6 linked regions of the Rattus norvegicus genome follow. The protein of the gene in region 1 binds, or shares a complex with, the protein of each later gene. Links are inferred from orthologs where the notes say so. Each region holds a gene or a part of one and is shown in the gene's direction. Other genes may lie near its edges. The genes, in order: Zc3h13, Wtap, Cbll1, Rbm15b, Mettl14 and Rbm15.

Region 1 (2,960 bases):
ACTGCTAGGCCACACACTGAGTTTGACTTAAATGCTCTTGCTTCACCTTTCTCCAAAGTCAGTAGTCAATGGCCTTATTCTCCCTCTGAAGACTGCTTTTGGCACATTTTAAATCTAAAACAACATCACACTATTGTTCTTACTAAGATGAACAAGGTACCTATGTGTTGAAGATCCTTTTATGGGGAACTATTGCTGCTAGCTTTGACAAGTCATTCACTAAGGTTTAGTAAATGAGGAGGTCTTGAAGTATTCAGTTAAGTCAGTGGTGACACTTACCTTTAAGGGAAACTTAATGTATGCTTGTTTTGATTGAAAGATGCAGACAGCCTTTTTGAACATGAACTAGGGGCTCTCAACATGGCTGCTTTACTTCGAAAAGAAGAGCGGGCGAGTCTCCTTAGTGACCTGGGACCATGTTGTAAAGCATTATGTTTCAGACGGGATTCTGCAATCCGGAAGCAGCTTGTGAAGAACGAAAAGGTACCACGCAGTGGTTGGTAGGAATAGTATGTTCCATTTTAACTGCTTGTGACTTTGCTTTCCTAGTCCCCAGGCACCTAAAGGAAGAACCCACATGGTGCTTGTTGAGTGGTAATTGTCATTCCAAACTTCATGCACAGAAAGTCTATTCATTCGTGAAATGTTTGCATGTGAGCAGAGCTCCTTAATGTAAGCAGACAGATCAGTCTGTGTATAGTATTTACTGCAGAGTAACAAAGGTGGTTTGAAGTCAGAAAGAGGAGTTTCTTTAGATATGAGAAGGATCTGATGAAAGAGTCTTAGGCTTTTTAAAGTTAGAAACTGGGACTGTAGGTGAATGTGGCCGACATGGGCAGTATGACAGAAGAAACTTGGTCTGGTAAAGTTAGAAAAGCACTGACTGAGATTTTACAGGAGTCAATAAGAAAACATTGATTATCTTTCTATAATATTGCTATAAAGAAAAATAGATTTGAGGAGATTAAATTTATAAAAAAAAATGATATGAACCCTCTCTAAAGATTAAAATGAACACAGGAGGAATGGGAGACTTTTTAGAAAGTCAAGTCTATGTGGCTAGAGAGCGGCTCAGCGGTTAAGAGCATTCACTGCTTTCCCAGAGGGCTGCGGTTCAGTTCCCAGCACCCTGTCAGGTGGCTCATAGCCACCTATAACTCCAGCTCCAGGGGATCCAGCACCCTCTTCTGGCTTCTGTAGGTTCTTTCTCCCTCTCCCTGTTTGTCTCCCCCTCCTTTATTCCCTCCTTCCCTCTCTATCTGTCTCATCTCACTGTCTTCTCCTTCTCTTCCCCCTCTTCCTTGTCTGTCTTTCTCATCTGTCTATCTTCCCCACATAAAGTCCTGATTAAAAATGGCTTTTGAAGAACAGTCATCATTCTCCTTTGCTATTTCTGTTTCGCATGTCCTTAATATCTCTCATTCTTCTGCCTGGGCACCGTCTCTCCTGGCAGCCTTTCTAAACTCAGCATTTCTCTCCTAAGCACGTATGTAGTCAGTCCTCTTTGTAGTTGGGCACTGATAGCAGTCACCACCATTCTATTATTATTTCCGTCTTATATTACACTTGCATCCTGTTATGGCTGATTCTAATAAGGAGTGCCAGTATCTTCAGGATACTGCCCACTTTGTGTAAAATATATTTTATAGTTCTTGTTGGTTCCTCCCTAATACACTGTTGTGTCCCTCAAATACAGTAGCAACTAAAAAGCCCTGAAAAGTCTCAAAGAGAATTGTTTAGAACCTTGTACCTTGTAATTCAGAGTACAGATAATTAATGGACCATATTACACATTGTGACGTTTAATGACTCATTATAAATGTCTTAATTGATCCATCCGCAGAAAGAATTGTGAGTGTTCCGATTTCTCAGTGTTAAAGACGTTGGCAGTAGCTGGACCTGGTGAACTCTGTTGTGTAGCTTGCGAACTCTGCTGAGGGGAGGTAGGAGGGTCTTGAGCTTGAGACCAGCCGAGGTTATAAACATAGCACAAGCTGAGAAAGGGACAGAACTGAAAGCAGTTTAAATGCTCCAAAGCCCCGTGAGAACACTGAGATTGAGCTTTGTGTCACTATAAAAGAGAAGAAGAGAGCAGTGCTGGATTCTCCTCCAGGGACAAAAAGTGGGAAAACCATTAATTACATATTTGACATTGTAACTTTATGGGAAAATTACTTTGAAGTATTTACATATAAAGCACCTTAGGAAAAATTAAGAAAACACATAGCTATTGTAAATGAATTTTAAAATCATTTTAGCATTATAATATTAGAGTAACACAGCAAATAAAAGGAAGGATATAATAGCAGATTAAAAAAAATGGAGATAGAAGGACATTAAAAAATTCATAGTAAAACCAAAAGCTGGGCTTTTTTGTTTGTTTGTATGTTTGGTTTTTTAAAGAAATTAGTCGTCTCCCAGCTAAACTAAGAAGACGTTGATGAGCAGTAACGAGAAGAAAAATTTCAATGACATTATGAATGCCATAGGGATAGGAGGATAGTAGGGGCCTGGGTGTGGCTCCATGATGAAGGGATTGTCTGGCAAGCTCACGGCTCTGGGTTCAGTCCTCAGCACTGAGCACCAAAACAGAAGAAGAAAAGACAAAGGTTGAGTTTAACGTTCAGTTTAGTAGCAGTGAATAGACTGAGTCCTCAAACTACGAAATCTGTGTAAGAATAGAAGACTTAAGTAGCTTTATATCTACTTCAGTACTACTCCTGGACATGCATGCTTACAAGTCTGCTATATATTACAAGAAAAGAAAAAGCCAGGATAATAACAAAACAAATACTGATTCTACACAGTGTTTCCAGAAAGAAAGCAGCAGGGCTCCTTCCTAGCTTATGTCACAGTCCAGCATTGAGAAAACTGCCGTTCATCCCCTCTCATGTAGACAGTCGTAAAGATCCTACACAATGTTGGGAAATCAAATTAAGAATAAATAAAGTGAACTCTGT
Region 2 (4,263 bases), on another chromosome or scaffold:
CATTTGTTTATTATATATAAGTACACTGGGGCTGTCTTCAGACACACCAGAAGAGGGCATCAGAGCCCATTACAGATGGCTGTGAGCCACCATGTGGTTGCTGGGAATTGAACTCAGGACCTCTGGAAGAGCATCCAGTGCTCTTAACGCTGAGCCATCTCTCCAGCCCTGTATCTTATTTTCTTTTACACTAGAAATCTTTGGAGAAAGTAACATTGAAATGTTTGTACTACAATAAACATAACTTCAAAACCACAGCAACAATGTTATAATTACAAATCACTTAGTGAAACTGAGTGATTCTTAGGTATCCACAGGCACAGTGCCAGAGTGTGAAACTCAAAACACTGTAGCTATATATATTCTTTGTCTATGTCTCAGTTCCACTGCCAAACTGCTTAAGAGTCAATTGGTTCGTTTCAATTTACTTGACTTTGAAGGGTTTTTACCTTTTGTCTTCATAAATTTTGAACTCAGAGAAGCCTTGCTTCTACCTTTATCTCCTATAGCCATTACCACTTTTTGAGTAAGTATTAAGTTTCTGCAATATCCTTCTGTCTTCCCAGTATGTGCCTACATATATGTGTATATGTATTTCTACACATTGCTTTATTCACTCAGCCCAGTAGTAATTCCAAAGTAACACATTAACTATTAATGACTGCATCCCTACCAGGATACAGGATTTCAATGTGTATTTCCATTATAAACAAAGTTGATCCTCCTCCTACGATATATTTAAGGACATCTTCTCTGTGAATCATCTGTTCATGTCTTTTCCCATTTTCTTTAGTTTTCCAAGACCTTTTTTTCTCTTAGCCTAAGTGGAACACCATGGCTCCTCTGGTCATCTGGTCTCTACTGTAATTGTGTACTTATAAGTGATCTCAGCCAGGACACCTTCGCTGGGGATTAACTGCTCTCATAAAACCGACTAAACCTAAATATGACTGTCCCATCTGGGAAGTGCTGAAGAGACTGCAGACTAACGCCGTTCTTGCTGTAATCCAGGCGACTGTCTTACTGGAGTGATTTCTCGGACTCCAGAATCCTCACTCTGCTGCCTTCTCCGGGATTCTGGTGTGCGATCTGCCCTGGAACGTCCCACAGGCGCAGCTTCCTTGCACCTCAACTTAAGCCCAGAGACGCCACAAGGAGCAAAGCCGGCGGCCGCAGGGAAAGCGGCGGCTTCTAAGGCCCCCAAACTTAGGACGAGGGGCGCTTAGGCGTGAAGCTGCTGTCTCCGCGTTCCGGCAGCGCGAGCGGAAGCATCCTGTGCTATGCGGCCTGCAGCGAAGAGCCAATCACGCGCTCGTCGGCTCGGATTCCTCCGCCCAGGCCGTGCTGCAGCCGCAGGTGGCCCCGCCGAGCGTGTCCGGCAGCGGCCGCCGTCCCGTGATGCCTCGCGGGTGACCTCTGACCTCGCGGGCCCGCCCTTCTCTCCGGCCGCTTCCCTCCCCATCCCGGCTAAGCTTGCAGAGCCCCCACGGGGCAGGTGCGAACCTCCGCGGACGGTCTCGGTGCGGCTGCGGAGAGCCGCTTGCCCCTCCGCGCCCCGAGACCCCGAGCGGGCCGGCCTCGCCTCGTCTCTTCTGGCCGGAGGCACCGGGCACGGTGACCGAGGCGGCGCCCGAGAGGCGCGTCTCGGGTGAGTGGGCCACGGGCGGGGTATCGGCGGCGCACTCGGGGCGGGGCGCACTCGAGGCGGGGCGGGGCCGACGGCGGGGCCTGGTTTCCTCCCTCAGCGCCATTTTGTGGCTGCGAGACCCGCAAATAAAGGCTATCTCCGGGGCTGCGGCGGGAGGAGTGCGGGGGGGGGCCGGCGGCGGCGCGGCCTCGGCCTGTGTGACTGGCGGCGCCCGCGCAGCCTCGGGCTGGGAAGGTAGGTGCGGCCCGCGGCGGGAATGGCCACGAGGGCCTGCAGGGACGGGAAGCGAGGCGCGGCCGCCCTGGACCCGGCGAAACGCACTCCAGGCCCGAAGGGCGACCGGGCTTGCGGCCGCGCTGGCTTCCCGTTAGTCAGAGCGGTTTGCTGCTCGTGGGGATACTTGCACCGTTTCACAGCCATTCTGCTCCCGTTCCTGACGGCAGGGGACAAGGCGGGCGTTCCCGCGACTGGGGAGGCGGGGAGGCCGGAGGCCGCCCTCTCGGGGCTGACTGGCCATGCCTGTCCTTTCCCCGCCTCTGTCGCCCCCTCCCACCTTCCAGGGTTCGTCACCCGGGACCTAGAGGTACCGATAGTTCTGTATGACCCAAGTGATGCATTCGGTTCTTTAAAAAAAAAAAAAAAGGAATTTCACGTCACGCAGTAGCTTGTCATTGCAGCCACGTTCTCATGTGGACTTCCATTTTTACATAAGTATGCATTGTGAGAGTAGTTAATTTTTTTGACAGCTTCCTGAAATTTTTCGTGAACTTTTAGTCTAGTTTTGGATCTCTGTAAGGCTGATTTGACTATATTTAAACTTGATTTTCATAAGACAGTGCACAGTGAGAAAAGACCTAAGTTTTTCTGTTTGTGTACATATTTTCTTATTGGGGAGGGCGGGGGCGGCTAGGGATGGAACGCTAGGCCTTGTGCATGCATGTTATTAGGCCAGCATTCTGCCATTCATCTAATCCCCGAGCCCACAGTTCTTGGTTTGATAATGAGGAAGTCAGTTAATTTGACCCCAAAGGACTAAGACACTGCACACTGGTTGTAAGGATCGGTGAGCATGTTATAGTCGTAAATTGTATTTATGCCTTTTTTGTCGTTCTCACTATAGCCTCGCTTTTTTCATTTAGTTAATTTTATTATTTGGAAAGATAAGTGGAAGTCACAAATCAGTTACTACAAATTCTATTTGTTTTTCACTTTAACTTATTTATTTGAGCATCGGAGCTGGAGAGTTGGCCCAGGAGTTAAGAGTACTTTTTGCTCGTCCAGCACCCAATTGATGGCTCGTGGCCATCCTTAACTCATGTTCCTGGGAATTTTGACTTCCCTCTTCTGACCTCTGTGGGTGGCACCAGGCATGCACGTGATGCACATACATACATGCAAAACATTTACAAAAAATTTTTAAAAGTACTTAATTTTAAAACCATGCACCAGGTTTTCTCATAGGTAAATATGTAGGCATCTGAAACTATTAAAAACAGACATTTTTTGAGGTGGCTAGGTTTCATTCATTCAGCAACTATTGCTCAGGCAAGTTGGGGAAAGTTGCAGTCTACAGGATGGCTTCTGATGTGTTGGAACTGAATTTTAAGGATTTGGGCAGATGTGTTTCTGAGGGTGCTTTAGTTCTTCATTCTTAAACAGATGAGTGTGTTTGAACACTACTTAAATTATGGTTTGTAATAGCCATTTGATGTATTTGGACAGAGCATTACCATTTTCAAGGTCCCTCCTGTCTTTTTGTGTATATAATGTAGACTCTTGAAAATATTGTTAGCCGCCTAGATAATTGGTGTAAGGTGTAGTTAAATTTATCATGCTCTTTAGAAGTTTTACTTGATATGCATTCTTGTTTTTATCTCCCACTTTCTTCCTCTAAATACTTCCTATTTCTTTTCATTAAGCTTGGGAAGTTTTTTTTTTTCCAGTATTCCCATCATTGAATAAGCTATTGGTGTTAGGTGTTAGGCATTTCCATCAGACAAGATTCAGTGTTCTTTGCTTTAAAGATGAAGTTGGTAGAGTTTATTTCCTGTGTTGATTGTGTTCAGGCAGTCCTTGTTTGTATAGTGTTTTTATGGTACCAATAACAGACCTGCAGTACTTTGTGCCCTAAGCAACACTGATGTGGAAACTGAAGCCCAAAGAATTAAGTGACTTGATCACATAAACAGGAGACTGAAATAGTGTTCTGATTTCTAACAAGTCCCCTTACTCCTGCAGTGCTGAGGCTCCAGCACTGCCAGACGATGCCATTTCTTAACATCCACTGTGATTTATTTCAGCGAGCCATATACATGCCTTCTTGCATAACTTACCTTGGCGTGTGGTTGCCTTTCTCCAGAGAGTACTAAGTTGCCTAACTTAGGATCATAGTGTTATGATCTGGGATGGTAGGCACTTAGTCAACTAAAGCAGTTCCACAGCCTAAGCTAGGCTTTAAGAGTGGATGGCATTCTAAACTGAGATGAATTCTCTGAACTGTCTACACAAATAAGTTTAAAGTTATAGGTGTTTTGTCGTACGTCTGGAGTTAGAATTGTTATGAGCTACAGTGTGGCTGCTGGTAATCGAATCCAGGTCCTCTGAAGGAGCAGTCA
Region 3 (3,992 bases), on another chromosome or scaffold:
TTTTTTTAAAAGAGGCCAATATAATAATGTTTTATTGATCTAGGAACTCTGGCACTGAAAGCGTGAACAACCCAAGGTAACAATGTCGTCACCAAGGGACGACCATAGAGCCCAAATCCCTTGACTCCTAGGCTGATGTTTTCCACTAATTGTGCTCCTTTCTACTCATCTGAGAGCTTCAAGTGTGAAGGGCTGGAGAGGGGAGAAGACCTATTATGAGCCAAATCTAGGTGGGGGGTGCTCTGAAGGTCCTCACCAATCGCCGTTGACACTTGCTTTTGTTTTGGCTGAGCAAGATGAAAGCAGCAACCACAGACCCCAGGGACCAAGAACTGGAACTAGGTACCGCCTGTTTTGGTAACTCTCTTTTCCTCAGTCGGGGCCTGCCCTTTCTCATTTCTTCCCTCTGCCCAAGCCCTAACGCTTTCCCTCCGACTCCATCGGTTCCTATCCTCCCTCCTTCACCTTCTCTGCACACAACTGCCTTGCATCCTCGATGGACCGGGACAACCTGGAACTCCCTACAGCTTTTGCAGGGATTAGAGGCGCCTGGTGTTCTCTAGAGCGAGGGGCTAGTCAGCATTATACACGCATTTCAGTTTGAGAAACTACGGTAAGAGCCAGGGCGAACGCGCGTGTCGAGTGGGCGTTGGGGCTCATCAGGACAAAGCCTGATTAGGCAATAAGAACCTTTCCTCCCTCCCAGCACCTAACTCAGCTTCCCTCGGGCAAGAACGGAGCGCGCGTGTTTACACTTCTCTATACCCAGCGGCGGATCCGGGGGGCATTCCAAACCGTTACTCCGCCCGGTGGGGTGGGACCAGCCTAACGGCTGAGACTGCACTCTGGGTGGACTACAAATCCCAGAAGGCCTCGCGCCGCAGGGGGTGGGCGGCGGCTTACCTGCCTGCCTCGCTTCCCTCTGGTTCCTATTGCTCTCCCACTGCAATAGATATCCTTCCTACAGCTGAGGGCAGCCTCTGGGGAGAATTAGAAGTCTCGGCACCAGAGCCCTCGTGTCCCCTCTCTTCCTGCCTCAGTCCTGCCTATGTGTGACTCCCTCACCAAAGTCGGATGGTGCGGTTAGGAAGGGAAGCCAGTGAGAGCAGTCCCAGCGCACTTCCGCCTCTGCGCTCCGGAAGGTAGGGCGCACGCGCTTGCTGCGACTCCGGAGCGACTCACTTCCGCTCCCACTGTACCCTGCGAGCCGAATCATGGATCACACTGGTAAGGAGGCGGAGGCAGCGGGGGTCCTAGTTTCTTGCCCCCGTGGCTCGTGTGGGACTGGTCGCCCAGCAGGCACAAGAGGCTACGCTCGCCCCAGTGCGCCGGGACGTGGCGGAGAGGAAGCAAGCTCAGGCCCGGTCCCGGACTGGGCCTGCTGCTTCCCGGCCTACCCTCGGAGCGGTGCCTCCATCCTCGAGACCGGCAGCACCGCTTCTTTGGTGCCGCTGAGCTCGTTTCGGAACCCTTCGCAGCGCAGGCTTCTTGGAAAGGGACGGCCCCAGTTTTGTTGTGTTTTTGTTTTTGTTTTTCTCATTCCGGTTGCTTTGCACTTTGTGCTGGGGAAATAGGCGGGTGTTTTCCACTCTCGGAATTGGAGAAGCGTCCGGACTGTGGGCGAGAGTGGGTTGGAGACTTCCTGCTGCTTCTCAGCTTCGGGCGGCTGCTGTAGTGGTCATCTCCTGTGGTTATTGTCTTGTTGGCTTTTCGCGGACTGGTAGTTAGAGAATAAAGGCGGATATAGTTTTCGAACTTATAAGTGGAGCATCTTTTTTCTACCTGAACTCAAAGCATGCCCCGCCCTTCGGCCGTGGTTCTTTCGCATCTTTTGGGGATATATACAGAATTTTTAAGATCAAGATATTTTCATCTTATATTGCGAGTAGCTTCAAACCTCGTTTCTGCTGGCTTCGTTTTCTTGGTTTTAGTTTTAGCGCTTGGCTTTGAGTGCTTCAGACAGTTATATCGCCAAGCAGGAGGAAAGGCTTTTTCTTTAGGAATTGACTGAGATGCGCGCAGTCTTCAAACACCACTTAGTTATGTAATTGCATGCAGATACTTGTAGGCTTGGAGATAGAATGATGGGATAGTAAACAATAGGACTACGTCCTTGTCTTCGAGTTTGCATTCTGTCAAAGGAGGCAGACAGGTTGGTTTCTTTTTTAAAAGCTCCTTATAGATTGTGGTGAGTACTTTAAGAAACAGGTGCTTATGGAGTAAGAAATTTCAGAGAGTACCAGGAAAAGGGCCCCCCCCCCCCACTTTGGAATGGTAGGAAGATATAGAGAAGACCAAATGTCCGTAGCTTAGTTAGTCCTAAGTTGAGAAGGAAAATACAAGTTACCTTTTTCAAGACTTTGAAAATCACGATAAAGAGTTTGAGCGGCTACAAAGCAGCTGAACAAAAGGGAGTATAATATTTTAAAAAATAATTCCTATTCTTCTATATAGAATGGTGGAGAGGAAGAACGGGGGTAAATAAATAATCTATGTGGTGGTTGCATTACCGTAGAGGGAGACCCAGTTAAAGCAAAACTCAGTGGTAGAGCAACTTACCTAGCAGGTCCCCAGCAACGCTGTAGGGGAAGTAGGAGCAGGACTGAGAGAGTAGGCAATTGCCACAAATATTTTGGTGGCGATCCAGCAGCTGCTCATGGGTTTATGGAAGTATGTGAGAGAAATGAGATCCCGCTAGAACTGTGTAAAAGAATTATCCTAGTTTCTAAGTTATTAGCCAAAGGTTGCCTGGAGAGATAAGAACAGTCATTCTAACACGAAAACAATCACTACTGAGCTAGCTAGGTTAAAAAAAAAGTTTCCAGACAGCTCTCCTTTCTGTTTAATGGTAGCTTTTCTAGATTTTAAATCAGTTACAACACAGTCTCCTAGTGCTTCAGTTTCAATTGCTGCACATTTTGAGAAGAAAAAAAATCAAATTAAGTCAAAGACTAAATCAAGAAATGGCAGCTAGTTAGTTGACAGTTTTCTGACTGAGTAGACATCTCAAAATAATGATTTTAATGTCAAAGGATCAAGAGGTCTTTTAAATGGAAGTATTGGAGTAGAATTTTGCCAGAAAGTTTTCAGAATATTTTTAAATGGCAAAGACATTAGTGTTTCTCTGGATTGCAGAAGTGTTAGCAGTGAGCTGAGGGCCCTCTGGGGTGGAAAGAAGCAGCAAAAAAGGTGATGTCCCTGCAGCTCTTCAGGCCAGCTCTGTCCCCATGATCCTACATCTCAGAGGCACCCAGGCCAATAAAGATCCTGCAAACACTTGATTCATTCTTTGGTCATTGTCAGAGATAATCAGTGCTTAGGTAAAAGTAGCCCAATTTTTGTAAAAGACTGCTTCATGCTTTTTGGAGAGATGGACGCTGGGGACCGACCTGAACCCAGAACCTTCCTTCAGTACCTTAGACAGGTTCTATCAGTGAGCTGCATACCTGCCTTCAGTTCCTTGGCTCCTTTTATTCAAGATAAAATATTAAATGTGTTGTTTTTAAAACTATATAATAAAGGTATATTTGCTTTAAACTATTCTTGTTATCCCTTATCCAGATAATTATTACATGCTTTGTGTTTTGTTGTTTTGTTTCTATGTATGGGTGTCCCCACACAAACTTCAGATTTTTGTCACTTAAATCTGTGAGACAAACAGTAGCTTTAGAAACAGGCTCGTGAAAGGGCCAGGCTACTGTTTAAATAATGGAGAACTGTGTTATGTGGGCTGGTTCAAAGGCTGGGCAGGTAAAGTGTGTTGTTTTCATTCACAGAAGTAACACACTAAGAATCCTTGTGATACCTGAAGAGCATCATGTTGGCTATTTCAGTTCTTTGGAAAGTTGAGAATACATTTTGTGCAAGGGGAAAAAAGTATCTGTCATAGATCTGTATAGATCTATGTAGGTATTTCTATATGGGTGAGCAAATGCAGTGGAGACTGCTGAAATACATGAAAGACATTCCATTTTAGTGGAGTCTTGAAGATT
Region 4 (4,209 bases), on another chromosome or scaffold:
GCAGAACAAGCAGAATTGTCTGCACTGAGTGCAGGTGGTCAGAACTAGCATTTCTTTACTCTGCCTGGTACTTGTTATTAATTCATTGGGGTTCCAGTCTGGCATCAGACAGGGCCCCTGGCTTTCCTGGATTCTGGCGAGTCTAGCAGGAGTCAGTTTATGGAGCAGTGTGAACTTGTCCCAGAGGGCCTGGAGAGTTGTGCAGCACGGTTTTCAGTTGTTCCCTTGCTGGCATTTGTGACCTGTGCCTCAGTAAGGACACTTTGCTCCTGCTGCCTCGAAAGATCATGTGAAAGGAGTGACTGCTAAGAAGTTACATTTTTCCAAAGAGCGCGTCTTAGCTCTCCTGTGGTCCCCAGTTCACTTTGTATCAACGGGGCCTTACTTTCTGCCATGAAGCCCTCGGCTGTTTCTTCCAAGTTCCTCCTGCACTTTTCTCCTGCTGATTGCTTTTCTGCTTATGGGAGGAGGGAAGGCTGGGTGCCTTCTTCATCATTCTACAGATACATCAATGGATCCGCAACCATCTGTGGAGAACATAAGCCCTAGCAGCCTTTGGGTGCCCCTGCCGGTACTTCACCTCACCTCCTGGATGTGGCCAAGACACTGGCCAGCAAGATGTCAACATGGCAAGAAGTGATAACTAACGCCATTACCTGTGCTTTACCCTTGGTTCTGCCACCCCACCTTTCCAGTCTCCTGTCTGCCCAGACACCTACCTACAGCAGAAATTTGGACCCAGTGGCACCAAGATGCCTGTCTGTGGGTTGCAAACGCATTCTTTCTAGTTTATGTACCTGGACCTAGGGAGGTCTCACCTGTGTGGATAGTCTTCGTTTTCAGAGTCTTGTCAGGACAGTGCCGGAAGAATCTGAATGCACAAGATGGCCTGGATGTGGGTCCTGGACAGGGTGTAGGGATACTTGTGTGTCTACCTTCAAGGATGCCACTTCTGGTCCCAGTCAGAAAACTCCATGGAAGGGAATAGAATTTCTTCACCTAGTGGCAGGTTTGAGTGGGATACAACCCTTGGCTTCCGGCCAAGCAGCCACACCTGCTCCAGTGGGCGGGGTCCCGAGTCCGCCAAAGGTAGGCGGACCTGGTGTAGGAAGCCCTAGAGCACAGAGCCAGAGTGCAGCTGGGGCCTGCTAGGCTCCAGAGGGAATCCGCGCCCAACACGGTAGCCCGGTGCCTACCAACCACGCAGCGGCGCCAGAGCTCGCAGTCAGGCGGGCTCCTCTGTTTGCCAAGATGTCACGTGGTACAGGCCCGCGGAGCCCGGTGATAGGCGGCGAGCGAAACTCTCGTCCCGCCCACCTCGGTCACGTGGTACGGCCGGCGCAGCTTGATAACGCAGCTCCCAGCCCCTCGGCGCCGCTCCCGCCCCGCCCCGCCGCTGCCGCCGCGCCGAGTCCTTTTGTCCAAGATGGCGGCGCCGGGGGCGCTGCCTCCTGGGCTGCCGCCGCTGCCGCTCTGAGGGACCCGCGGGCCGCCCGCCCGCCAAGCCGGCGCAATGAAGCGGCAGAACGAGCGAGACTCCAGCCCGAGCGGGCGTGGCTCGTCATCGTCCGCCAAGCGGCCGCGGGAGCGCGAACGGGAGGCAGAGGCGGGCGGGCGGCGAGCAGCGCACAAGGCCTCCGGCGGCACCAAGCACCCGGTTCCAGCGCGGGCTCGTGACAAGCCCCGCGGCAGTGGCGGAGGCGGCGGACATCGCGACGGGCGCGCTGCTGGGGATGCGAATCACCGAGCAAGCAGCGGGCGCTCCTCAGGCGCGCCCGGAGGCGGAGGACGCACCGGCAAGGCCTCCGGGGACCCGGGTGCTGGGGGCGCGTCGCCCCGCGCATCTCCACTCCCGCCGCCCCCGCCGCCCCCCGGGGCGGAACCTGCGGGTCCCGGTACCACGGCGGCTCCGGAGTACAAGACGCTCCTCATCAGCAGCCTGAGCCCCGCGCTGCCGGCCGAGCACTTGGAGGACCGGCTCTTCCACCAGTTCAAGCGGTTCGGTGAGATCAGCCTGCGCCTGTCACACACACCGGAGCTGGGCCGCGTGGCCTATGTGAACTTCCGGCACCCACAGGACGCGCGTGAGGCCCGCCAGCACGCCTTGGCCCGTCAGCTGCTGCTCTACGACCGCCCGCTCAAGGTAGAGCCCGTGTACCTGCGCGGCGGCGGGAGCAGTCGGCGCAGTAGCAGCAGCAGCGCCGCTGCCTCCACGCCGCCCCCAGGGCCTCCCACGCCCGCGGACCCTCTGGGCTATCTGCCCCTGCACGGGGGCTACCAGTACAAGCAGCGCTCTCTGTCTCCGGTAGCCGCCCCGCCCCTGCGGGAGCCCCGTGCGCGGCACGCCGCGGCAGCCTTCGCCCTGGATGCTGCTGCCGCGGCTGCCGTGGGACTGTCTCGGGAGCGAGCCCTGGACTATTACGGGCTGTACGACGACCGCGGGCGCCCGTACAGCTACCAGGCCGTGTGCGAGGAGGACCTGATGCCGGAGGATGATCAGAGAGCCACTCGAAATCTCTTCATCGGGAACCTGGACCACAGTGTATCTGAAGTGGAGCTTCGACGGGCCTTCGAGAAGTATGGCATCATTGAGGAGGTGGTCATCAAGAGGCCTGCCCGCGGCCAAGGTGGTGCCTATGCCTTCCTTAAGTTTCAGAACCTGGACATGGCACACAGGGCCAAGGTGGCTATGTCTGGCCGGGTGATTGGCAGAAACCCTATAAAGATAGGCTACGGCAAGGCTAACCCTACCACCCGCCTCTGGGTGGGTGGTCTTGGACCTAACACCTCGCTGGCGGCCCTGGCCAGAGAATTCGATCGCTTTGGGAGCATTCGGACCATCGATCACGTCAAAGGAGACAGCTTTGCCTACATCCAGTACGAGAGCCTGGATGCAGCCCAAGCTGCCTGTGCTAAAATGAGGGGCTTTCCCTTGGGTGGTCCAGATCGCAGGCTCCGGGTGGATTTTGCCAAAGCAGAGGAGACTCGATATCCCCAGCAGTACCAGCCCTCACCTCTCCCTGTGCATTATGAGCTGCTCACTGATGGATATACCCGGCATCGAAACTTGGATGCTGACCTTAGGGTGCGGGACAGGACCCCTCCGCACCTTCTGTATTCAGATCGAGACCGGACCTTTTTGGAAGGGGACTGGACCAGCCTTAGTAAAAGTTCAGACCGCAGAAACAGCCTGGAGGGCTATAGCCGCTCAGTGCGAAGCCGGAGTGGTGAGCGCTGGGGGGCAGATGGGGACCGGAGCATAGCCAAGCCCTGGGAAGAGAGACGAAAGCGGAGGAGCCTTTCCAGTGACCGCGGGAGGACAACTCACTCCCCTTATGAGGAACGGAGCAGGACCAAGGGTGGGGGGCAGCAGTCTGAGCGAGGCTCGGACCGCACCCCTGAGCGTAGCCGAAAGGAGAACCACTCCAGTGAAGGGACCAAGGAGTCAGGCAGCAACTCCCTCAGCAACAGCAGACATAGTGCTGAGGAAAGGAGCCACCATCACCACCACCACGAGGCTCCAGACTCTTCCCATGGGAAAAAGACTAGAGAGAGTGAACGCAATCATCGGACCACTGAGGCAGAGCCCAAGACTCTTGAAGAGCCAAAACATGAGACCAAAAAGCTAAAGACTCTGTCAGAGTATGCACAGACACTGCAGCTGGGTTGGAATGGGCTCCTAGTGCTGAAAAACAGCTGCTTTCCGACTTCTATGCACATCCTTGAGGGGGACCAGGGGGTTATCAGTGGTCTCCTCAAAGACCACACTTCTGGCAGCAAGCTGACCCAACTAAAGATTGCCCAGCGTCTTCGCCTGGATCAGCCCAAACTGGATGAGGTCACCCGTCGCATCAAGCAGGGGAGCCCTAACGGCTATGCTGTGCTCCTAGCCATCCAGTCAACCCCCAGCGGGCCTGGCGCTGAGGGGATGCCCATGGTGGAGCCAGGCCTGCAGAGGCGGCTTCTCAGGAACCTGGTCTCCTACTTAAAACAGAAGCAGGCTGCAGGGGTGATCAGCTTGCCGGTGGGTGGGTCTAAGGGCAGAGACAGCACTGGCATGCTCTATGCCTTCCCGCCCTGCGACTTCTCACAGCAGTACCTCCAGTCAGCACTTCGGACATTGGGCAAGTTAGAGGAAGAACACATGGTGATAGTCATAGTAAGAGACGCCGCCTAGCCCACCTGGCCTTCCAGCTGTCTGTGTCACAA
Region 5 (3,374 bases), on another chromosome or scaffold:
AGTTTTATCTTATCAAACCGAGAAGGCAGAGAATGCCCATACACTCTCTGCCTCCCCCCATCCTCGGTAGTTCTCATAACTACAAAAGTCCATAATTTATATTAGGATTGATATTGCTGGTGTCTATGGATTTAAATGAGTTGGTTATGGTGTATGCCTACCATTGTAATGTTACAGTGAGAACGTTTTCTGCCTTCTGCTCCACTTAGTTTTTAACACCATAATTATCCGAATATTTGGGAGCATTGTGAGGTTTGTGTGTGTGTAGTAAGGTCGGGGCACTTGCCATACGTATCGCCTCACTTCTTTGTACTGGGAAATTATGCTGTTCTGAAGTGTTCAGTTGTTCCCTTAGCTAAGCTATGCATTGCTATGTCCTGGATTCCTCACTGTACGGTCTGTGGGCTTTTTCCCCTCACTCTTCCCTGGCCTTCATAACCTCCGCTCTAGTCTCTGCATCTTCCAGATGCACGGTTTGTTTCCACCTGTAAATGAGAATATGTGGTATGTGTTCTTTGCCTGATTTACTTCAGTTAGCATAATGCCCTCCAGTCCCATTCTAGCAATGGGATACATGGCATTCAGTTTACCCATTCCTCCATCAGTGGACACACACCTAGGTCACTGCTGTGTGAGCCGTACCACAGGCTGGTTTTAGTTCCTTTAGGTGTGTACCCGGAGTAGGGGCTCTGGCTGCTGTGGCGCCTCTCCTAGTTCTTTGAGAAACCTTCATAACGTGTTCCATAATAACTACTGTAATCCACCTCCCTCTCAGTAGCGTGTGGGAGTTCCACTTCCTGCAGCCTCCCCAGCCATACCGGTCCTTTCCCCTTTGATCACAGCTGTTCTGACTGAGGGGAGTTCTGACCGCAGCGAGATGATACCTCACTGTGCTTTTGTTTGCTTAGTTATCAGTAGTGGTGTACATTTTTTTCACAGACTTGGCTATGTGTGTATCTCCTTGTGAGAAAACTCATTGCCTGTGGAAAGACGGCATGAGAAGGGGCAGCATGGCTGTTTGGATCCTAGACCTGAGAAATGAGGACATTTTGTATAAAAGAAAAGCACATTTTCCTTCGTCAAGACTTAATGAGAAAACCAGTAGCCTCATTTTCATAAGTAGGAAAGATATATGTATATATTTTCTCAAATTTTTACCCAGCCCAAACATTTGTGTATTGAAATATCTTTTATAAGTGGTATTCTAACAACATAATAGATAAGGAACGGTTTGGATGACATGTAACATAAGAATGAGAAACAAGGTGTGTGTATACAAAACTTTTACAATATGGGTGACCGTTGGTGTGGTACACTGTATACTAGAGGTGTGGCTGTGTGTGTAACAGCCATCTTTGAGAATGTGTTAAGGACTTAGCTCCTAAAGGACCAACAAAAGAGCAAGGAGATGGAAATGTTTTCTGTTTCCCCCCTTGTTTCAGGCTGGCTCACAGTTGGACCAACGCTTACAAATAGTAACTACAATGCAGAAACCTACGCGTCCTACTTCAGTGCCCCCAATTCATACTTGACTGGATGTACCGAGGAAATTGAGAGGCTTAGACCGAAGTCACCTCCTCCCAAATCCAAGTCTGACCGTGGTGGTGGAGCTCCCAGAGGTGGAGGGAGAGGGGGAACATCTGCTGGCCGTGGTCGTGAACGAAATCGATCCAATTTCCGAGGAGAAAGAGGTGGCTTTAGGGGGGGTCGTGGAGGGACACACAGAGGTGGCTTTACACCTCGGTAGCTGTTACAAACGCTTAACAGTGTCCCCTCTGATCTTTTTTGTGAAGACTTGCTTCAGAACTCACTCCCAGCTTGCACTTTGCTTTAGTTTCTCATGCTGCCAGAAAGACCTTAGCCACCCACCCCCACCCCTAGGTCCTTGCAGTTGTCACAGACTGTGGTTCTGCTCAGGGTAAGTCACATGTGTGCAACACTCAGTCATGGGCTTGACTGATTTCACTCAAGGCTTTGGCTTCTTGGAAATAGGAGCGCAGTGGAGCACCTCTCAGAGGAGGATGGCAGGAATGGTGCTCTTTCCTTGTCGTGGCTGCCGCAGCCGCAGTAGGAGACTGGGAACCTGGGCAGAGCAGAACTGAGAGAGGCGGTCACCCTTTTTGGGGCCTTTAATGTTTTCTTGTTAAAACACTAAAAAGATGTAGTTCCCCCCCCCCCTTTTAAATTCTAAAAAATAACATGAAGTATCATTTGAGTACTGAAGACTCAGAGATGAAATGAAGTCACTTTCTTCCAGATCTGAATCTGACGGGGCTGGAGCCCTCAGGGAAGGTAATGGAAGAGGCAGAGCTTCCTAGATTTAAAACAAAAGCAAAACAAAAACCAAAGTTATCATAATGTAAATAACAGCTGCAGATGACATATAATCATGCTTCTTAAGAAGCAAGAGGAGGCAGGCACGTGTCAGGTCGGAGGGCTGTGTGTGATCTTGAACTTGGACTGACCTTCTAAGACAATTCATATTTCTTAGCAAAGGTAAAAACAGATTTGCTGGGGGGAGGGATGGTTCAAACAATCTAGAAAATAAACGCTTGATGATGAGGAAATGACATACATCTTTAAAGTTGTTATTGAACAAAATTTAGGTAAAAGCAATTATAGAAACCCTAAGGATACAGCTTGAGAGATGGGGTTGCAGTTGCCTTTGATTAGAGCTGTGTGGTGCAGATGTCTCTGCAGGGCTGATGTTCGGATCTCTTGGCTGTGGAAAGCTTCATACTGTTGTTTTTCTACACCTTAAGTCATGTTTGAATGGATTTGGCTATGCCAGATGAGATAATATCATTATTGTTCATGGTAACTCCTTTTTTTATTTTGCTATACTTTTCTAATAAAAAGTTTAAACCTTTGAAATGAGTTTGTTTTCCTTAAATGCAGTTACTATTGTTACCAAATGAAAAGGGACCAACCTAAAGTGACATCTGAGTTCCACTTGTCAGATATGGTCTCATGGACAGCCACGGAAATACAGTTGGAAGGCCTTACACTTTAAATGCTTGATGAGTTTGGCTCTCACAGGTGGTTAGAATATTTGCTGTGGTGGTGTTTTTAATTTCAGTAATTATAAATTATCCAAAGGCAGGGCTGTGTGTCAGATTTGACCTGTAAGGAGGGGATAGGAACTCCCATTTGTTCAGTCTGACTAAGGAATATCCCTTCCCCGCACATCAGATTCTTGTGTTCCCATTCTGAGCATAAAAGACAGCAACAATCTGGTGCGAAGCAAGATTTGCGGCTTCATAACATTCATAAGAAACTAACATTTCTTCAGCAGAAGACTCATTTCCTGGATGATCATATTGCTGCTGCTCCCAAACCCTCCATCACGTACTCAGATAGGAACATTGCTGGTT
Region 6 (3,970 bases), on another chromosome or scaffold:
CTATGCTTTATAGTATTTTGGGGTTTATAATTTACCTATCAGGCTTCTTTCAAATCTTTTTGATGTAATCAAGAGATTTTGGACCAAGTATTCACCAATTTCAAGATTATATACTAACAAAACAAATCGGCTGAAATAGGGCTAATCAGGTTGCTGTATCTAGTCTTCAAATAGCTTTTAAATTTAGAATTAAGGGTTTTTTTTGGGGGGGGCATTCTTATCACCTTGTAAAATGTCCTGTTTTAAAACACATTCTCAACTCAGTCTTAAAAGATGGGAATACCAGAATCTTTCTAATGTCTTCAAGGTACATATTTGGGGAGACTGCAAAAAAGCCTATTTCGCGGTTGGGGATTTAGCTCAGTGGTAGAGCGCTTGCCTAGCATGCGCCAGGCCCTGGGTTCGGTCCCCAGCTCCGAAAAAAGAAAAAAAAAAAAAAAAAAAAGCCTATTTCCCCTCACCAGGAGGTAAGCACCAGTGGTATAGACTATCCATCTTTTTTTTTTTTTTTTCTTTTTTTCGGAGCTGGGGACCGAACTCAGGGCCTGGCGCTTGCTAGGCAAGCGCTCTACCACTGAGCTAAATCCCCAACCCCTACCCATCTAATCTTATGATCACCAGTATTACACAAGCTTACGAGACTCCTTACAGATGCATGGGGTCACCGAAGTTGGTGGCGGGGAGACGTTTAGATTTGAATCAGGGTTAAAGGAGTCAAAGGAGGGGGATCTAGGAGGGGACAAGGTGGCCATGTTACTGGATCCTAATATGGATTAATCGGAGTGCTGAGGTCCAAGAAACGAGATAAATGTAGTACCCGCACAGTGAGAAGCGTTACATATTAAAGCTAAGCACAGCTACCTTTCACAAATCTTTTATGAATGCAAATCCTACACATTTTCACAACATAAATCAGGAAGCAAAAAAGGCCTGCAAGTGGTCCTGCAGGTCAGACCAGTCGGTAGGCCCGGAAGCCCGGAGTGTAGGTCACTGCCGGGCCCAAGGCGGCCAGGGCTGCGCTCTGTTTCCTATGTCCGCGGGCGGGCTGTGACTCGGTACCGCCCAGGGCGTCAGCGTGACCCGAGGCTCAGTGAACCCTGAACTCACCGCCCCAGCCAGCCGCACAGACCGGGGCAGGCGCTTTCTCGCGCACGGGGGTGGGGCTTTTTCAGGCTGCTAACTAAGATGGTGTCGGCTGGACTTCCCGGGACAGCTGCCTAAGCGGATCGAGGGCCAGCAGCCGGAAGGACCACCGAGCCCATTGTCCCGCCCAGACAGGACAGTGCGGAGCCCGCAAGTTCCAGACTCGAAGGACCGAAGCACAGGCAAGTACGCCGTAGGACCTAACAAATGTTTAAGAGAACGCCGAAAGCGCGGGGAGGCGGGCCTGACTCACTGTCACCGTCTCGCGACAGCTAAGTGACGTCGCACAGCAAGCGCGTGGTAGAGTCTTTCACCTTCAGACTCCTCAGTTTATGGGCCTACTCCTTTAAGTGAGTGATGGACAGCGCTTTTATCCAATCATTTTCCTCGTCAACATCCAATCAGATTTAAACTTTATTCAGCCGCCGGAGAAGTTGGAAGACTGGGGTTGAAAGAGAGCGAGCGAGTGAGCGAGCGAGCTCTTTGTCTCTCGCGAGATCCGAGAGAGCCAAGTTCTCAGGGAAAAACGCCTGAACTGATGTCCAGACTTCCCAAGTAGTGATTTAAAGGACGTGGCCATAAACCAATGAAAGGGAAGAGAAGGTGGGATCGCTGCTTTCGCCGTGCTAGAAGTACCGTTACAGGGCAGACTTTTTGTCCAATCAACGCTTCTAGGCTTTGGGTCAGGTGACCATGAAGTGCGAGGGGCGGAGCTACAGCCTGGCGCGAGGAACCGTTAAGATAGACAACGAATATAACCAATGAGGTACTGCGATTAGGGCGTTGGGAACCCAATAACAGCGTCGGGGCGGGCGCCTTCCCGGAGCGCGGGGAGATGTAAAGACGGACAAATAGTTTTTCCAATGAGAAAGCTGAAGAGTGAATTAATTGACCAATGAGGTCTGCGGGGCGGGAGCCTTTGCCGCGGCGGAGTCCAAGATGGCGGCGTGCGAGTCCGCTGTGTGAAACGAGCGCGGGGTGGCGGGTTAGTCAGCTCCGCAGAGACGACCTCCGGCGACCCTCAACAATGAAAGGAAAGGAGCGCTCGCCAGTCAAGCCCAAACGCTCCCGTGGCGGTGAGGACTCCAGTTCTCGTGGGGAACGGAGCAAGAAGTTAGGGGGCTCTGGCGGCAGCAATGGGAGCAGCAGCGGGAAGACGGACAGCGGCGGGTCGCGGCGGAGCCTTCATCTGGACAAGTCCAGCAGCCGAGGCGGCAGCCGCGAGTATGATACCGGTGGGGGCAGCTCCAGTAGCCGCTTGCATAGTTACAGCTCCCCAAGCACCAAAAATTCCTCAGGCGGGGGCGAGTCGCGCAGCAGCTCCCGGGGTGGAGGCGGGGAGTCACGTTCCTCTGGGGCCGCCTCCTCAGCGCCTGGCGGCGGGGACGGCGTGGAGTACAAGACCCTGAAGATAAGCGAATTGGGGTCCCAGCTGAGTGACGAAGCGGTGGAGGACGGACTGTTTCACGAGTTCAAACGCTTCGGTGATGTAAGTGTCAAAATCAGTCATCTCTCAGGTTCTGGCAGCGGGGATGAGCGGGTAGCCTTTGTGAACTTCCGGAGGCCAGAGGACGCGAGGGCGGCCAAGCATGCCAGAGGCCGCCTGGTGCTCTATGACCGGCCTCTGAAGATAGAAGCCGTGTATGTGAGCCGGCGCCGCAGCCGCTCCCCGTTAGACAAAGATACTTACGCCCCGTCGTCCAGCGTGGTCGGAAGCTCTGTAGGTAGCCACAGGCACGCCCCTGGAGGAGGTGGAGGTCAGAGATCGCTTTCTCCTGGCGGTGCTGCTTTGGGATACAGAGACTACCGGTTGCAGCAGTTGGCTCTTGGCCGCCTGCCTCCTCCACCCCCGCCACCATTGCCCCGAGAGCTGGAAAGAGAACGAGACTATCCGTTCTATGACAGAGTGCGGCCAGCATATAGTCTTGAGCCGAGGGTGGGAGCTGGAGCAGGTGCTGCTCCATTCCGAGAAGTGGATGAGATATCACCTGAGGATGATCAGCGTGCCAACCGGACACTTTTCTTGGGCAACTTAGATATCACTGTGACAGAAAATGATCTGAGAAGGGCTTTTGATCGTTTTGGAGTCATCACAGAAGTGGACATTAAGAGGCCTTCTCGTGGCCAGACCAGTACTTACGGCTTTCTCAAATTTGAGAACCTAGACATGTCTCACAGGGCCAAAATAGCAATGTCTGGCAAAATTATAATTCGGAATCCAATCAAGATTGGTTATGGGAAAGCCACACCCACTACCCGACTTTGGGTGGGTGGTCTGGGACCTTGGGTGCCTCTTGCTGCCCTGGCACGAGAATTTGATCGATTTGGCACCATTCGAACCATAGACTACCGAAAAGGTGACAGTTGGGCATATATACAGTATGAAAGCTTGGATGCAGCTCATGCTGCCTGGACCCATATGCGTGGATTCCCACTTGGTGGCCCAGATCGTCGCCTTAGGGTAGACTTTGCAGACACAGAACATCGTTACCAGCAGCAGTATCTTCAGCCTCTGCCCTTAACCCATTATGAACTAGTGACAGATACTTTTGGACATCGAGCACCTGACCCTTTGAGGAGTGCTCGGGACCGGACACCACCCTTACTATACAGAGATCGTGATAGGGACCTTTATCCCGATTCTGATTGGGTGCCACCCCCGCCACCGGTTCGGGAACGCAGTGCTCGGGCTGCAACTAGTGCCGTCACTGCTTATGAGCCACTGGATAGCTTGGATCGAAGGAGGGATGGCTGGTCACTGGACAGGGACAGAGGTGACCGGGATTTGCCTAGCAGCAGGGACCAGCCAAGGAAGCGAAGGCTGCCT

What was found.
Region 2: the proteins of Zc3h13 (region 1) and Wtap are in contact, whole or in part, in a cryo-EM structure (PDB 7VF2), measured with the Homo sapiens proteins. The link is inferred for Rattus norvegicus from reciprocal best matches to the Homo sapiens genes ZC3H13 and WTAP. Residues at the interface, in NP_001317494.1 of Homo sapiens: Arg1512, Pro1514, Gly1515, Ala1516, Ala1517, Leu1518, Lys1520, Phe1521; in NP_001257460.1 of Homo sapiens: Asp202, Glu203, Asp206, Phe207, Gln210.
Region 3: Zc3h13 (region 1) and Cbll1 share a complex: the UniProt entries of both Homo sapiens proteins name them as parts of the WMM complex. The link is inferred for Rattus norvegicus from reciprocal best matches to the Homo sapiens genes ZC3H13 and CBLL1.
Region 4: Zc3h13 (region 1) and Rbm15b share a complex: the UniProt entries of both Homo sapiens proteins name them as parts of the WMM complex. The link is inferred for Rattus norvegicus from reciprocal best matches to the Homo sapiens genes ZC3H13 and RBM15B.
Region 5: Zc3h13 (region 1) and Mettl14 share a complex: the UniProt entries of both Homo sapiens proteins name them as parts of the WMM complex. The link is inferred for Rattus norvegicus from reciprocal best matches to the Homo sapiens genes ZC3H13 and METTL14.
Region 6: Zc3h13 (region 1) and Rbm15 share a complex: the UniProt entries of both Homo sapiens proteins name them as parts of the WMM complex. The link is inferred for Rattus norvegicus from reciprocal best matches to the Homo sapiens genes ZC3H13 and RBM15.

The regions. Positions count from the first base shown.
Region 1 is NC_086033.1:57,075,781-57,078,740, forward strand, and holds part of Zc3h13 (zinc finger CCCH domain-containing protein 13), read left to right. Parts: intron 1-319; coding exon 320-483; coding exon of another isoform or gene 484-500; intron 501-2,960. UniProt on the Homo sapiens protein: Associated component of the WMM complex, a complex that mediates N6-methyladenosine (m6A) methylation of RNAs, a modification that plays a role in the efficiency of mRNA splicing and RNA processing.
Region 2 is NC_086019.1:50,069,510-50,073,772, forward strand, and holds the start of Wtap (pre-mRNA-splicing regulator WTAP), read left to right. Parts: upstream 1-1,463; 5' UTR 1,464-1,648; intron 1,649-1,748; exon of another isoform or gene 1,749-1,882; intron 1,883-1,924; exon of another isoform or gene 1,925-2,231; intron 2,232-4,263. UniProt on the Homo sapiens protein: Associated component of the WMM complex, a complex that mediates N6-methyladenosine (m6A) methylation of RNAs, a modification that plays a role in the efficiency of mRNA splicing and RNA processing.
Region 3 is NC_086024.1:53,809,986-53,813,977, reverse strand, and holds the start of Cbll1 (E3 ubiquitin-protein ligase Hakai), read left to right. Parts: upstream 1-1,192; 5' UTR 1,193-1,214; coding exon 1,215-1,227; intron 1,228-2,015; exon of another isoform or gene 2,016-3,355; coding exon of another isoform or gene 3,356-3,521; intron 3,522-3,992. UniProt on the Homo sapiens protein: E3 ubiquitin-protein ligase that mediates ubiquitination of several tyrosine-phosphorylated Src substrates, including CDH1, CTTN and DOK1. Targets CDH1 for endocytosis and degradation.
Region 4 is NC_086026.1:116,422,575-116,426,783, reverse strand, and holds the start of Rbm15b (putative RNA-binding protein 15B), read left to right. Parts: upstream 1-1,409; 5' UTR 1,410-1,513; coding exon 1,514-4,177; 3' UTR 4,178-4,209. UniProt on the Homo sapiens protein: RNA-binding protein that acts as a key regulator of N6-methyladenosine (m6A) methylation of RNAs, thereby regulating different processes, such as alternative splicing of mRNAs and X chromosome inactivation mediated by Xist RNA.
Region 5 is NC_086020.1:214,214,665-214,218,038, reverse strand, and holds the end of Mettl14 (N6-adenosine-methyltransferase non-catalytic subunit), read left to right. Parts: intron 1-1,442; coding exon 1,443-1,747; 3' UTR 1,748-2,874; downstream 2,875-3,374. UniProt on the Homo sapiens protein: The METTL3-METTL14 heterodimer forms a N6-methyltransferase complex that methylates adenosine residues at the N(6) position of some mRNAs and regulates the circadian clock, differentiation of embryonic stem cells and cortical neurogenesis.
Region 6 is NC_086020.1:197,639,898-197,643,867, reverse strand, and holds the start of Rbm15 (RNA-binding protein 15), read left to right. Parts: upstream 1-1,170; 5' UTR 1,171-2,038; coding exon 2,039-3,970. UniProt on the Homo sapiens protein: RNA-binding protein that acts as a key regulator of N6-methyladenosine (m6A) methylation of RNAs, thereby regulating different processes, such as hematopoietic cell homeostasis, alternative splicing of mRNAs and X chromosome inactivation mediated by Xist RNA.